2 linked regions of the Notamacropus eugenii genome follow. The protein of the gene in region 1 purifies or fractionates together with the protein of each later gene. This does not show direct contact. Links are inferred from orthologs where the notes say so. Each region holds a gene or a part of one and is shown on either strand. Other genes may lie near its edges.

Region 1 (6,991 bases):
TGCCTCAATCTTTCCCTATTATAATCCACCACCCTCCACAGCTGCCAAAGAGATTTTCTTAAAGCGTAGGTCTCACCATGTTACTCCCCTACTCAATAAAATCCTGTGGTTTTTCATCACTTCAAGATCAAACAGAAGATTCAGTCTGGTATTCAAAACTCCTTTCCGGAATTATTGCCTATTGCTCCTCTTCTCCCTCTCCAGGGTCCAACCAGACTGGCCCTCTTACTTCTCCTCAAATATCACCCTGCCCCCCACCACTTTAACGTCCATCAGCTGTCCCCCATGCCCGGCATGTGTTCTCTTCTTGTCTCTGCCTCTGAGAATCCCTATTTGCCTTCAGAACTCAGTTCAAGCCGAACCTTCTGTAGGAAGTGCTTCTTCGTCCTCAGTCTCCAAAGCTGCCTCCAGTCTCTTCTGTATCTGCTTTGCACGGACCTATCTATGTATCTGTACGTCTCCTCTGGGGAGATGCCAGGTCAACCAACATCTATTAAGCATCTACTGGGTGCCAGGCGCTGTGGGGGATACAGAGGAAGGCAAAAACGATCCTCCTTCTCGAGGGAAGCCTCTCTGGGGGCAGACAACACTGAGTCCGAGATAGACTGAGAGGCGAACTCCAAAGGAAGGCGCAAGGATTAAGGAGGACTGGGAAGAACTTCCTGCAGAAACTGAAAGGAATCCAGAGAAGCCAGGAGGTCGGGGTGCGGAGCGCGGACACAGTCCGGGAAACTGCAAAGAGCCGGCAGAGAGGGTGGGGGAGGTCAGGAGGTTGGAAGGAGGCTTCCCTATGGAGGGGTGTCACCAGGAGACCCATCCTTTGGGAAAACAGGGCTGACAGCTCAGGAGGCGGCCAAGAGCTGCGGGGATGAGAGCCGGAGCCGGGACTACCACCTGGGAGAAGGGAGGGTGCGCACGAAGGGAAGCCCACCGGAGGGTAAGATCCGCAGCGCGTGGAGGGAGAGGGGAGAGACCACAGGACTGGAGGGCACCGCCGGGGCCTATCGGTGACAGAGAGGGGGTGAAGATGCCCATCCCAGAGCAGCAGGCAGGGGCAGGCACAAGGCAGGAAGCCAGCAGAGAGGCTGAGGAAGGGTGTGCAGAGCTGAGCATCGTCTACACGGAAACGATGACTCAGTGCACCGGGGCTGGCAGAGTGGTCCTCACCCGCCTCGTCTCGGAGGCGGGCACTGCCTTCACGTCCATCCCACAAACAGGGGAACTGAGGTCCAGCAGCCTGCCCAGACTCAGCCTCCAGCCGGCTCTCTGCGGACTGGCCCAGGTGACAGAGAGCGCTATCGAGGCAGGGGAGTTCAATGACGGACGCGGCTGGAGATGTCCCCGTCCCTGGAAGCCGGGCCGACAGGGCAGCCTGCTAAGGCCGGTCGGATCGCAGATGGCACGGCCGGCCCCGGGCCCTCCCCAGGCCGCAGCCTTCAGCTCCCACCGCCTCGGACAACGGAGCGTCAGGGTTAGCGGGCTCGCTGGGGCGTCCCACCGCTCAGGCCCGCAGACCTCAAGGTCCAGGGGCAGGCGGACCGTCCACACCTGCTGCCTGCCCTCCAGAACTGACCCCGACTTCACGGCAAGCCGGGTCAGAAGGCGTGGAAGGCCTGGAGGAAGCAGCTAGCCCCCCCAAGTCCCAGAGGATGACGTCAGAGCGCGGGACAGCCCCCGAACAAGAGCGAGGAACAGGACGAGGATCCCGAGTCTGGGGGAACGGAAGAGCCTCGGGACAGACGCGCGCTGCCCGGGCCGTGACAGCCCTGCCCCACGGCGCTCCGGGGCAGGGCCGGCTGAAGCGGCTTCTGGCCTCCAGGGGGAACGGCCGGCTTAGCACAGTGCCCGGAGGCGGGGCTGCAGGCTGCGGGAATCCCCGGACCGCTCAGTGCCCAGAGAAGGAAGCCGAGGCCCGGAGGACCGGCACCGGGCGGACCGGACCGGACGGACCGACCGGACAGGCACTTCGCTTCCTTCCGCAGTCTGGGGGCCGAGGCAGAAGCCCCTGCCCCGCAGCTCTGTGGGGAGTCCCAGGCCCCTCCGGAGCGGGCGCTCACACGGGGGCACCGCCTCTGCCCGCACCGGACCCCGAAGCCCCCCAACCCCCCCGGGAGGCCCCAGAGCAGCGCCCTCAGCCCCGGACAGACAGACGCCAGCTACGCCGGCAAAGTAAGCTAGACTCACTCCCGGTGCGCACCGGACCCCGGGCCGTCTGCCGCCGTTACTCCAACGACACCCCTCCGGAGATCCCCCTCAGCGGCACCCCCAGCACCCCGCGCCAGCCGCCATCCTCGGCCCGGCTGCCTCCTGCTGTGCGGCCACCCCCCGACTGGGGGGCCCCCGCGCCCTGCCTGCCGCGGGGGCCCGGTCTCAGACAACCAAAACGGCCCCCCGCCCCTTCCTTCTCCCCAAGACCTCTCCCGGGGCCTCTCACAGCTCCGTCTACAGGAAGATGATCCGGATCCAGATCCGGATCCGGAGCGTGCCAACCTCGGCCCAGAGCCCCGCGGTGCCCGAAGCTCTCCGGGAGCACGTGGCTGCCGGCCCCCCGGGAAGGCCCCCTCCCCCCACCGAGGCCGCGGCGATGGGGGGTCGCCGGGCACCGAAGGGCCGAGACGCCCCCCTGCCCCCAGTCACGGGCCTGCGGCCTCCCGGCTGGCAGCGCAGAGCACGCGGCCGGAGCCGAGGCCGGCCGGGGCGAAGGCCCGCAGGCCCCGGGGCAGACTCGGGGCGACCCCGCCCTCCCTCGGGGCCTCAGTTTCCCCGGGAACGGAGCTGGGGCTGAAAGGCCCTCGGCCGTCGCTCGGCCCCCCTCCCCCGCTCCCTCGACGTTACCGGGGAGGGAACAGAGAGGCGGCCGCCCGCCCGGGCCCGCGCCCTCGCCCGGGGCCTACCTACCTGCCTCCCTCGGAGGGCGGACGGCGGCGGCGGCGACGGCGGCGGCGACGGCCGGGCCTGGGCTCGCGAGCCGGCCGGCGGGCGGCGGGGGAGGGGAGGGGCGGGCGCGGGGGCGCGCGGCGGGGGGAGCGCGCGGCGGGGGGGAGGGGTCTGAGCGCGGGGACGCGGCCGAGCCTTCAACCCTGGTCCGGCCCCGGCCGCCGCCGCCGCCGCCGCCGCCGTCGCCGCCGCCGCCGCTGCCGCTGCTGCGGAGACATCGAGCGAGCAGGCCGCGCAGCCGAGCGCCGAGCCGGGAGCGCCCGGCGTCCGGCCAGACAGCGCGCGCCGAGCTCCGAGCGCTTCCAGGCCCGAGCAGCCGAGCCCAGGCGCCATGGATGGCACCCGGGCGGGAGCTCCAACCCTCCTCATTCCTCTGATCGCGGCCAGACTTCCGAGGGAGACTCCTAGAAAAATAACTTTTATGGATGCAGTTTGTTCCTCGGCATCCCCTCGGAGTCATGCAAATGACCAAAGGGAGAGCAGGAAAAAGTCAGAGGAACTGACCAGTCCGCGGCCAGAGTCCGAAACCGGGGACGGCGGACCCCCCGTGGACAGCAGAACCCCTCTGTGGAGAGCGCCCCCGCTCCCCGTGGACAGCGGACTCCCCGCCGTGGGCAGCGCCCCCCGCCCCCCGTGGGCAGCGGACTCCCCGCCGTGGGCAACGCCCCCCGCCCCCCGTGGGCAGCGGACTCCCCCTCCGCGGGCAGCGCCCCCCGCCCCCCGTGGGCAGCGGACTCCCTCTCCGCGGGCAGCGCCCCCCGCCCCCCGTGGGCAGCGGACTCCCCGCCGTGGGCAGCGGACTCCCTCTCCGTGGGCAGCGCCCCCGCCCCCCGTGGGCAGCGGACTCCCTCTCCGCGGGCAGCGCCCCCGCCCCCTGTGGGCAGCGGGCTCCCTCTCCGTGGACAGCCCCCCCCGCCCCCCGTGGGCAGCGCATCCCGCCCCAGCAGGAGGACCAGAGCACGGGCTGCGCCCCAGCCCGGGTGCGGAGAGGCCGCCGCGGACCTCCTGGTCCTCCCCAGGCTTCGGTGGGGCGCAGGGTACCCAGCGCGCCCATCGCTGTGGTTCCCAAAGCCACCGATGCTTCGGGGCGGAGTACAGAAGCTCTCTCCGGGTGCCGCCGAGTCTCCCCAGCCTCCCGGGGGTGCCTCCTCCTCCTTTCTCTGGTGCTGGGCACAGCTCCCTGCGATTTCCGATTCAGCACGGGACGTCCCCCGAACGCGAACCGGGCCAAGGGTAGAGTCGCAACCCCTGCCCTCAAGGAGCTCCTGATTCCTCCAGGATGGCAGGGAGCCTGGCAGCAGAGTGACTGGCAACAAGCCAGAGCGAGGGAAACCAGGGTATACTGAGGGTGATGACATGTGGGGGACGCACACACGTCCCGTAAAAATAACAAACATATGGACCAGTAGGGCAGAGAGTGGACATTTTCACATGAAATAACATTCAGTGAAAAAATCACAATACAAAACGCCTGCCCTGGCCCCAGTCATGTAGCGAGGATCGGAGGGAACTGTCCTGTTCAGAGAATCCTGGAACCTCCGAGTTCCCAGGCACCTCCAAGTCTTTTCCTCCAGCCCCTTCTGGGAAGCATGAAATGTCTCTCCTGAGATCCAGGATTTCAATATTCTTGTTCATGTTCAGAAACATGTTTGCTACATAATTACACATTATCTTTCAGACTGTGATTCATTGTAATGAGTTCCAGGATCATTATTTGTTTTCAGGTTTTGACTGATCAGTCTACAGAGGGCTAGCCTTTTGCATTCTTTAAAGGGCAAAGCCTTCAATACTCTTCAGCTCCTTTACAGGTTGGGAGTTTCTCTGCTGAAGGAAGTAGAGTTAATTAGCTGTGGCTGACTCTTGGGAACCTTCCCACAGCCTGATCACTCCCACCCTCAACTTCTGTGGGCCCTTCTACCTCATTCTTAGCTCTTCAGACACATGTGCCTCTTGAGAAACCCTCAAGAAGGCACCTCTACACCCAAGTCAACAGTTGGGAAGGAGATGAAAGTTACATGTTGGAAAAAACATATCCCAAGAATTGTTGGGGAAGAAAATGTCAGGAGAATTGAGACCAGGTTGTCCCCAGTACTTAGCCTAGCTTAGTGATTGATGGATTGAAAGGGTGCTGAAGTTGGGAGGAGATGCCTAGGTTCAAAAGAGGACTCTTTTCTATTATCTTGGATAAATCAGGGAATTCCTCCTCACTTTTATCTGTAAAATAACGAGATTGGAGAGGATGGTCTCTAAATCCCTTCCGTATCCATTGAGCATTTAATCAAGTGCTAGGCATACAAAAAGAGGCAAAAGGCAATCCAGGCCAGCCCTCAAAGAGCTAACTGTGTAAAGGGGAAGTCAATGGGCAAACATGTACAAAGCAAGCTATATAGAGGATAAAGAGGAAATAATTAACAGAGGGAATGCCATGGAATTAAGTGGGGTTGGGAGATGGTTCCTGTAGAAGGTGGAATTTTAGCTGGGACTTAAAGGAAGCTGGGAGGTCAGCAGCCAGAATGGACGGAGAGCATGCCCAGCATGGGGGACAGCCAGTAAGACTTAAAAGTACAAATGCCTCTGAAATCCGTCCAGGCCCTTTCCTGAGTTTGATTAGCACAGTCTTGTTTTGCTTTAGAAGGTTCTTTCCAGGACAGACTCCCACTTTGTCCCCCATGGCCTTAGGAACTACCAACTTCTTTTGATGCAGGGGGTCATAGTGAGGGAAACCTAGATGTAGGGAGCAGAGGTAACAAAAGTGGCTTGTGAGAGCCAGAGCAGGCCAGAGACACCAGTTACACTTTACAGGGAAAAAAATCATTAGGACAGTATTATTGCACAATGAGAACAGAGCTGAAACTTCCCTGACGTCACCACCCTCGTGACCCCATCTACTTCATGCCCAACCTCCTACCTGTCTTCCTACCAAGCGCACCCACTAGCAGCAGAGCAGGAATCACGATGACGGGAAACAGCATTCGGACTGGAAATAAGCAGATGCTAATCCCTAATAAGGAGTCACCTCCCTTTACTTCCCTGTCTGTCATCAGCTGTTCCTTTCTTTGCTTTGGGAATCACCAGACTAACACTCCTGAGCACAGCCTGACAGGAGGCACAGACAGGAGCAGATCAAGAGGACAGGTCAGAGACGACACATGGGCGGCTGCTAGGAATCTGGGAGAAAGAGAATCCTAAGGAAAGGCTCCTTTTGTCCCTAGTGAAAACATCAGCGTGTGAACCTCATTCATATGTTTGTTATTCCAATTAGGTTATTTTTAAATTGGTATAATTTTAGAGCCAGCGCTTAGTTAAGGATTGTTTATTACCTGGGAAATTTGTGCATCATTGGGTGCTCACAGATAGGATTTTAACTCTGCCCCTGCCATTGGGAGAGGCCAGGCACATTCCAGAACCCACGCTAGGAACCAAGTTTCCTTAATTGTCCTTTTCACCCTCTCATCTCTTGCCTTGTGTGTTAGGAAACCAGAGACAGGAAAGGCCAAGCCTTGCTTCAATACCATCACATGAAGAACCCTGATCCACTCAGGTACAGGCTCTCCTCAAAGTGGGCAAACTTGTTTCCCTATTAGTAATCGTGAGGCTGCAACAAAGGAAATTGCTTTAATAAGATTTCTTTGGAAAGAAAGGATAAGGTGGCAAAGTCCTCCTTTGATCAAACCTCCTCCATCTATTCTGATGTTCTACATAAAAGGATGGGGAAGGTAGGAGAATGAGAGAATAACATTCAGGTTTGGTCCACAGAGATTTGGTCAGATGTCTGGAGACCTGCTTCAAAATTTGACTCGAAAGGTCCAGACTGCTATCAGTCTCTAATTATCCTAGTTGGCAAGATTCTCTTGGCTAGGTAAAGTTTGAATGAATTAGTAACCGGAAACTTAAGGCAGATCATTTCATGGTCCAAATCACATTGATCTCAGGTTATGTCTAAATGAAAGGTGGAAACAGAAGTACTGTATTGATAATTTAGAACCAAAAATTTCCTTTTATTAGAAATATCGTGATAACTGACGCACAAGTGGCATTGTATTTTGAATTAGCT
Region 2 (7,696 bases), on another chromosome or scaffold:
TTTCAAAAAGTTGTTTAGTTAGAATCCTCTCCAGTTTCTTATAGTTCTTGTCATCCGAGAGACCACTGAAGGCAATTACTTGTTGTTCAATATTCTTCACTTCCTTTTGTATTTCCTGAAGCCTACTAATAGAAGGATGTTGATTTCCCATATCCATACTTTTATTTGGTTCAGTTCCACAAGAGCTAAAAAAATGAGAAAAGTGATTAGTTATTTCAGTGTAATGTCTTTACAGAACAGGAATAGTTGTCATGCATTAATTCATTTTAAAATAATTTCATTTCTTCCACTTATTCTTTACATTGCAGTATTATGTTAGCTTTCTATTTCAAAAGTTGCCTAAATCTGGCTACATTTCACAAGAGTACATTTCAAGGATCCATAACTTTGATGTGGCTACTCCTTCATCAACATATAGCAATCCCTCAATGATTAAGCAGAAATCTTCTAGAGCAGCTGAAGACCCAAAATTCATCACCCTGAAGACAATCTGAACTTAGCAAGGATGTTCCTCAGGTAACAGGCAGAGTGCCTGTCAGCTGGCACATATTTGAAGCTATTTCTGCTTGGCAGATCCTGCCAGTTTGCCTTTGAAAATTTTCATACCACGAGGAGAATAGAGGAAAACCTACCAAACTACCTAAATCAATAAAATTAGAAAAATAATCATATACTACATTATATACTTTGAGCCCGAGACTAGAAACCAAGAAGACTTGGATTCTATGCCACATGTTTGCTCTGTGGTGCTGGGGCAATGTATCTCAAATATCTTCAACTGTAATAAATAACTAAGGCACAACTTACTAAAAAAGGTCACAAAAAGCTTTTTAACATCATTACTCTTTTAGTTTCTACTCTTCAAAGTTTTTTTAAGCCATCAAATTGCTCTTTCCTTTTGTTTTATATAACACTAAAAAGTTAAATGGTTGAAAAAAGAGAACTTAAGGTAAGTAAAACTCCTTTTTTGATCTAATCACCCTTTGCCCTCCTTTTCCCAACAAAGAAAATGTAACAATAAGAACTAGGCTATTTAAGGAAAGATCCACCCCTCCAAACAAAAACCAAATACCGACATCAGATTTCTGCTAAATTCTTATTCCCTAGGATCATTAGCTGATCTACAGATTTTCTATTTTCTTCCTACCATCACTCCAAAATCTCAAAAACCTTATCTTTAAAAATCTGGCAAGGCTGAAACATTCAGCACTAGTGGAAAGGCAGGCAATATCTGAAGTCAGAAGAGCTGGACTGGATCCTAGGTTCTACTACCTATTTCTGAGACTCTGGGTAAATTATTTCACTTCCCTCTCTGGGTTTCATTCAATTTCCTCATCTATAAGATGCAAGGGAGAAGAGGTAGATTAGGTGATCTAAGTCCAAAGTCTCTTCCAGTTCTAAATTCCACGACAGCCATTTCCCCCCTCCCTCCAAATCAGGTCTACATGGGACAGAGTGCTGCTATTTAATTTAAATATAACTAATGCCAATTGAACTTTCACTCACAAACACTAGTTTCAAAACTTCCTATTGGCTTTACAGAGAGCAGGGCCATAAAATTACTAAAAAATTTTAGGGAGGCAGAAGTGAATGAGGATCTGGACCAGGTGCCACCTCCCACCTTGGGCTCCTGGTGTCACCACGTCAATGGTCTCCTCGAGTTACCCAGAAGGAAAGAAATGATGTTAAATTGCTGAGCAGTGTTGGAATTGGCCAGGCCCCTGTGTCTGCTTCCAGAAGTTGTTACGTTAAGATGGATGAGCCCCTTTACGGGTTAGGTGTCAAAGCGCAAAGCTGCATCCTGTTTCACCCCGCCCCGGCTAGTTCTGAAAGGAGCACAGGGCTCAGGGGACCGGCCACTACGGCCACCTTCTACGGCCTGGCTTCCTGGGCTGGGCTGCCTGGCTTCCAGGGGATCTCAGGCCTTGACTTGGCCCTGACCTCACAATAGGGTCCGCCATGGGGGAGGGGAGACCTCGGACCTTCCTGAGGCTCTCGGCAGCGCTCCTAAGGGGTGAGTTAAAAATCGATGACCCCATTCCCTCCCATGGGGAAGGAGGTCATGGGGGGGGGGGCAGCACCGGGGAAAGAACTGGTTCTGTGTGGGGAGGCACGATAGTGAGGAGACACCCCTTCCAGGCCCCCCAAAGCTAAGAGACCTAAAGACTTGGGGAGGGAAGGATGGGGGGGCCCACCCTGAGTAGAGAAGTAAAAAGCGGGGGCCCGGATTCCGAAGGCATGGGAAGGGGAGCCCGGCCTGTGAGGGGATCTGAGAAAAGGAAGGCATCCTGGGATGTGGGGGAGTGAAAAAATGGGGATCGGCCTCTAGGAACATGGAGGGAGTAAAAAGAGAGGGGCTGGCCTTTGGGAGTTTGTGGGGGGTGACAAAAAGAGACAATGGCCTGTCAGGGAAGGTTTAAAAAAAAGGGTGGGGAGAAGACTGAGGATGGGTCCCGGCCCGGCAGGGCACCGCGGGGGGTCCCGGTCCGGGGGTGGGGGTGGGGGCTGGTAGGAGGGATACATACCCCTCTATCTCGCTCCGGAGGGGCCACAGCGAGCAGTCGGTCACCACCGCCGAGTCCTTCACCCTGGCTCTTATCACCTCAAGCCGGACCCTGAAAGGAAAGCGTCCCGTCTGGCTCGGCCGCCCCTCACTCGTCCCAGCGCCACCATGGCCCGGGCCCCGGCCCCGCAGCCCGGCCTAGCTCTCCTTCTCTTCCTGCCCCTCCTTTTCCTCCTCCCCTTTCCCGCTCCGCCTCCCTCGCCCCCCACCCCCGCCCTGGGAAGGCCTGACCCACCCCCTGCGGCCAGAGGAGTCCTCCTGCGGCCGGGAGGCCGAGCGTCGGCACTGCCCCGGATCGCCAGGCGGGGGCGGCCCCGGCGGCCAGATGGAGCCCTGCCTCGCCGCCTCCGCCGCTCGCTGGTCACCTCTGGGCGAGTACACGGTCGGCCCCCGGCTCCCGGGCTCCTGCTCCTTCTCCGGCTCCTCCTCCGCAGCCGCCATTTTACGAGACTGCCGTAAAGCGGCGCGGCCGAGGCGGGGCCGAGGAGATGCCGATGGCGGCGGCCGCCCGGGTGGGCTGGAGGCAGGGGCTCCTCCGTCCGCCCCGCCGCGGCTTCTCCTGCCACGGCCGCCGGCTCGGCTCGGAAGAAGGGCCAGAGCCCCAGGACTCGACGCGGAGCCGGGTAACCAGGGCGTCAGCGGGGCGGGCCCGGGGCCCCCGAGGTGGCAAGGCCCGGCAAGTACGCTGGCCGGCCGTGACCCGCGGGAGCGACGGCGGTGCCACCGCGCCCGGGCCGGCGGGAGGGTGTCAACGAATCTCGGCGTGTGTGTGTGTGTATGTGTGTGTGTGTGTGTGTGTGTGTGAGTGTGAGTGTGAGTGTATGTGTATATGTGTGTGTGTATGTGTGTGAGTGTGTGAGTGACTGAGCCCCGACGGCTGTCAGTCTCGGTGTCACTGAGCGTCGGCGTGGTGGGAGGGGCAGACAGTCACTGAGCCCCGACGTGCGTCTGCCTCTGAGCCTCGGCCGGGTGGGGGGAGGGGCGGGGAGCGTGTCACTGAACCGCGACCCCCCCCCGGGGGGGAGGGGCAGAGAGGAGGCACCCGCTCCGGCCTCGTGGGGGAGGGGCAGACAGTCACTGAGCCCCGACGTGCGTCTGCCTCTGAGCCTCGGCCGGGTGGGGGGAGGGGCCGAGAGTGTCGCGGAGCCCCGACGTGTGTCTGTCCCTGAGCCGGGCCCGTGAGAGGTGGCACGCCGGCCAGTCACTGAACCCCACGCCTGTCTGTTGCTCATCCCCACTCGGAACGGAAGAGAGTGACTGACCGGCCTGGCCCTGCAGGGAGCGCGGTGACATCGGCCCTGATCGCGGCTGTGGAGGGGCACGGCTGGTGTCTGTGTCGCCGAACCTCGATGCGGTTTTATGGAGTCGTGTGTGCGCGCCCTAAGCCGCACGTTCCCGCGGCCCAAGCTCCTAAAGCGCTGCCTGGACGTCCCGCATCGTGGCGGAGCCCCAAATCCCGGCGCACTCTCTGTCCCTGGCGCTTCCGGACCCTTCAGGCCGGCTCCTCTCTGAGCCCCGGAATTCCGCAGCTGCTCCCTGCGGATTGGCTTGGGGTCGAGAACAAGGAGTAAACACCGTCGGACGGTGACTGCCGGTGCTTGGTTTGACTCGGGCCTTAGTTATGGTGGGTAGTGACCCTTGGCCAGGACCCCCTCCTCTCTGTTCCCGTCTTCCCTGATACATGGGGGCACAGCTAAATCTCTCCTACGTCTTTTGTGGGGGGAGAGGGAAAAAGGGGTTAGGATGGCATCTTTTGCCAGAGCTCAACCTTCTTCCATACTGGCTTTCTCTGGAGATATGATCAACCGCATTCTAAAAACAAGTGATTAATTTTAGCCTAATGACTATATAATATCCCTTAGGTCTCTTACTCTTTTAGGTCTTTTCTCTCCCTTTGTTGTTTTATGGAATTTATATCTTAATACCTAAGAGCTCCTAGAAAGGAAAATTCCTAACATTTAGGCAGAAGTTTGAATCTCTGCCCTAATTTATTGCTAGCTAATCCCAGGTCTCTATGTTTGAGGGGAAAATCAGGACGTATGAAATGTTTCTGTAAAAGAATTGACCAGAGTATATATTACAGTGTTTACCATTGTGTTTTGAAACCTCCTTCCCCTTTTGAAGAAGTATGACTGGTAGCTTCTTCACTCCAGTCTTCTCTCTGAGATATTTTTAAGGGCCCAATCCCCATCCCACCCCCCACCTTTCATTTCTCTGTTACAGCTCATGGGTTTGGGTTTTTGTTGTTGTTGCTGTTTTTTGCCTTCATATGAAAATACTAGCTCACTGACTCTGCTGAAGATAAAGTATAGAAATGCAGTATGGAAAATCAGTGTGGGATAGTGAACAGAGAGCTGGCCTTAAAAGCCAGGAAGATTTGGTCAAGCCTGATCTCTGACACCCTGGGCAGCTAGGTAGCCCAGTGGATAGAGAGAGCACTAGACCTGGAGTCAGGAAGACTCATCTTCCTGAGTTCAAATGTGGCCTCAGACACTAACTAGCTGTGTAGCCCTGTCTGCCTCAGTTTCCTCATCTGTAAAAAGAGCTGGAGAAGGAAGAGAGGCAGACTATCCCAGTATCTTTGCCAAGAAAACCATAAATATGGTCAGGAAGAGTCAGGTGGGACTGAAACTACTTGAACAGCAACAAGAAGAAACTCCAGGCCATAAATTGGATAAGTTGCTGCTTTTGTAGGGGGAATTTCCTCACCTATGTACAGAGACATCACAGTAATATTCCATTACATTCATATACCACAATTTGTTCATATAACACAATTTGTTATTCCCCAGGTATTAGATACATACTTCATTTTCATTTTTTACTACCACAAAAAGCGCTGCCCTAAATAGTTTGGTATGTATGGGAATTTTGTGTCATTTATAGTGAGATATCTGAGTTGAAGAATATTGATTAACTTAGTAACTTTTCTCAAATAATTTCAAATTGATTTCCAGAACAGTTACCAAGTCTATTAATTGGCTTACCTTCTAGCTAAACAGTCCAGTTCCCCAACACTGGCTGTATCTTGAGGATAGAGACCTTTATTTTTCTTTGAATCTCCAGTGTTTAGTACAATGGGTGACACATAATGGGTGTAAAATAAATACTTGTTAATTTTATCATCTTTACCAATTTGATGGTTGTAAAGGTGAAAGCTCAGAGTTAGGCCAATGTGCATTTCTCATATTAATTGGAACTTTTTTCTTACACTTAGTAGTTGGCATTTCTTTTCTTGAATATTGTTTGTTCATATTCTTTACCCAGTGATGTTTTCCATTGCTTTATGCTGCCTGAAAACTTAGAACTAAACATTTTTTGGAGCAGAGGTCAAAGTGAGTGATAGCCACTTCAGCCTCTATTTCTCTTATTACATCAGGATGTTATATAATGAGTTGATTTTTCAGAAGACTGTTTTCCTTGAATTACGATTCTAGTTATGGTGATAGAGCTCCACTGATTTCACTCGAGGTCTCATTGGGCCCTCTTCAGAGCAAGAATTCGTATTTACAAGGTAACTGAATAGTCTAAAGGGAGCATCATTTTGTAAGAGCAAAACTCAGACCAGTTTCTTGAAGGAGTCATACTTGTTGCATGGGGGCAAAGTTTCACTCTTGAAAATAGGTTCAGAAATTTACTGTTCCCTGCCCCCTCAACTCCCAATTTTGTGGCTTGGTACAGTGTAGATACGGCCTTATGTAACTATTGTCATTACAGTCTTCAGCATCGAAATGCTAACCAAGGGATGCTATTTATATTTCCTCCCAACTGTGTAACTACCAGTTAAAGCTACATTATAACTAACTGTTCAATTGACATTAATGGAATTTCGGGGTCTGTGAATAACACAGGCTATGCAGTATTATTTTTATTTGGAAAAGTATCATAAATAATGTTACTTTGCAGACATTACACTTGTGTGGTGAGGAGGTGGGCTGATACAGTGGCATTTTTTTTGTACCACAGATCTGAAGATCCATTTTTCTAATTTGCTTTCATGCTATGGCAAAAAAGCAAAAACCTCTATACTTAATGCCACTGCTGTCTCACCACCCACTCTTCAGAGCTTTACAATCTGGCTTCTAATCTCAGCATTCTACTGAAACTATTCTTTTAAAGATTATCAGTGATTTCTGAACGGCTAAATCTGATGGCCATTTCTAAGTCCTTGTCTTTCTTGACCTCTCTGGAGATTCTGATATTGTTATTTACCACTACCTTCTTGATTGGCGTTCATGATCTTATGCTCTCCTGGTCCTCTTCCTACCTATTTGCTTCTCCTCCATTGTCCTTGCAACTTCTGTCTCCTGCCTGTCTGTAGCCTCCACCTTTATTGCCTCTAATTCTGCCCTCTGGGGTCGAGCAGAACAATCCTAATCCCTCTACCTGGGGAGAAATAGCCCTTCAAATACTTGAAGACAACCCTCATTTATTCCCCTCCTTCCTAAGTCTCCTGTCCTCCAGGCTCCTCCACCACTGGTTCCTTTAACTTATTCTTTTATTTCATGGTTTTAATTGCCTCTTGTTTAGATTTGGAAAGGACCTTTGAAGTCACCCAACCCACTCTCCTCATTTTACACATAAGGAAAGAGAAATCTTGAGAGATTGAGTACCCAAAGTCACACAGGGTTTTAGTGCCTGAGTTGAATGTCCTTTCTAAAATATAGCATCTAGAACATAATTTTCTGGATGTGGTCTGACCACTGCAAACGATCTCTCTCACTTTTTTGACACTACCTTTTTTAATGCAAAGGTCATATTAACTTTTTCAGCTGGCAGACTCAAATACTTAAATGGATCTGTGGTCTCCTCAATTTGCAATCTTGTGATGTAGATTGCAATCTATCCTATGCCTCTGCCATGTTGTCACTCTTGTTTGTGTTTTTCTATAAATTTGCTAAAGCAGATGCCACCCAGCATACTAGTGGCCTTCACTTTCTCTTGACCTCATGGTGGTCCACCTATCATTTCTCACCATGTCTCCAGCTTGTCTCTTCTTTTCATACAATTTTTTAATGACATCTTTTATAACTGTCTTTCTGTATTCCTGTCCTTTCTACCATGCACCACTCCACATCCCTGTGTGATACTCATTTTTAATTCTTTAGAGATTGTTGTATTCTATGTTTCATT

Evidence for each region. Proteins that work in one complex are often made in the same cells at the same time.
Region 2: the proteins of AMBRA1 (region 1) and BAG5 purify together in Homo sapiens (affinity purification with mass spectrometry, with the first as the bait; 3 studies listed by BioGRID). This does not show direct contact. The link is inferred for Notamacropus eugenii from reciprocal best matches to the Homo sapiens genes AMBRA1 and BAG5.

The regions. Positions count from the first base shown.
Region 1 is NC_092877.1:4,222,758-4,229,748, reverse strand, and holds the start of AMBRA1 (activating molecule in BECN1-regulated autophagy protein 1), read right to left. Parts: upstream 3,002-6,991; 5' UTR 2,899-3,001; intron 1-2,898. UniProt on the Homo sapiens protein: Substrate-recognition component of a DCX (DDB1-CUL4-X-box) E3 ubiquitin-protein ligase complex involved in cell cycle control and autophagy.
Region 2 is NC_092872.1:349,349,280-349,356,975, reverse strand, and holds the start of BAG5 (BAG family molecular chaperone regulator 5), read right to left. Parts: upstream 3,005-7,696; coding exon 2,799-3,004; intron 2,634-2,798; coding exon of another isoform or gene 2,616-2,633; coding exon 2,526-2,615; coding exon of another isoform or gene 2,466-2,525; intron 2,260-2,465; coding exon of another isoform or gene 2,182-2,259; intron 1,953-2,181; exon of another isoform or gene 1,622-1,952; intron 186-1,621; coding exon 1-185. Other genes in the region: COA8 (cytochrome c oxidase assembly factor 8), read left to right, coding at 2,182-2,259, 2,466-2,633, 2,812-3,186. UniProt on the Homo sapiens protein: Co-chaperone for HSP/HSP70 proteins. It functions as a nucleotide-exchange factor promoting the release of ADP from HSP70, thereby activating HSP70-mediated protein refolding.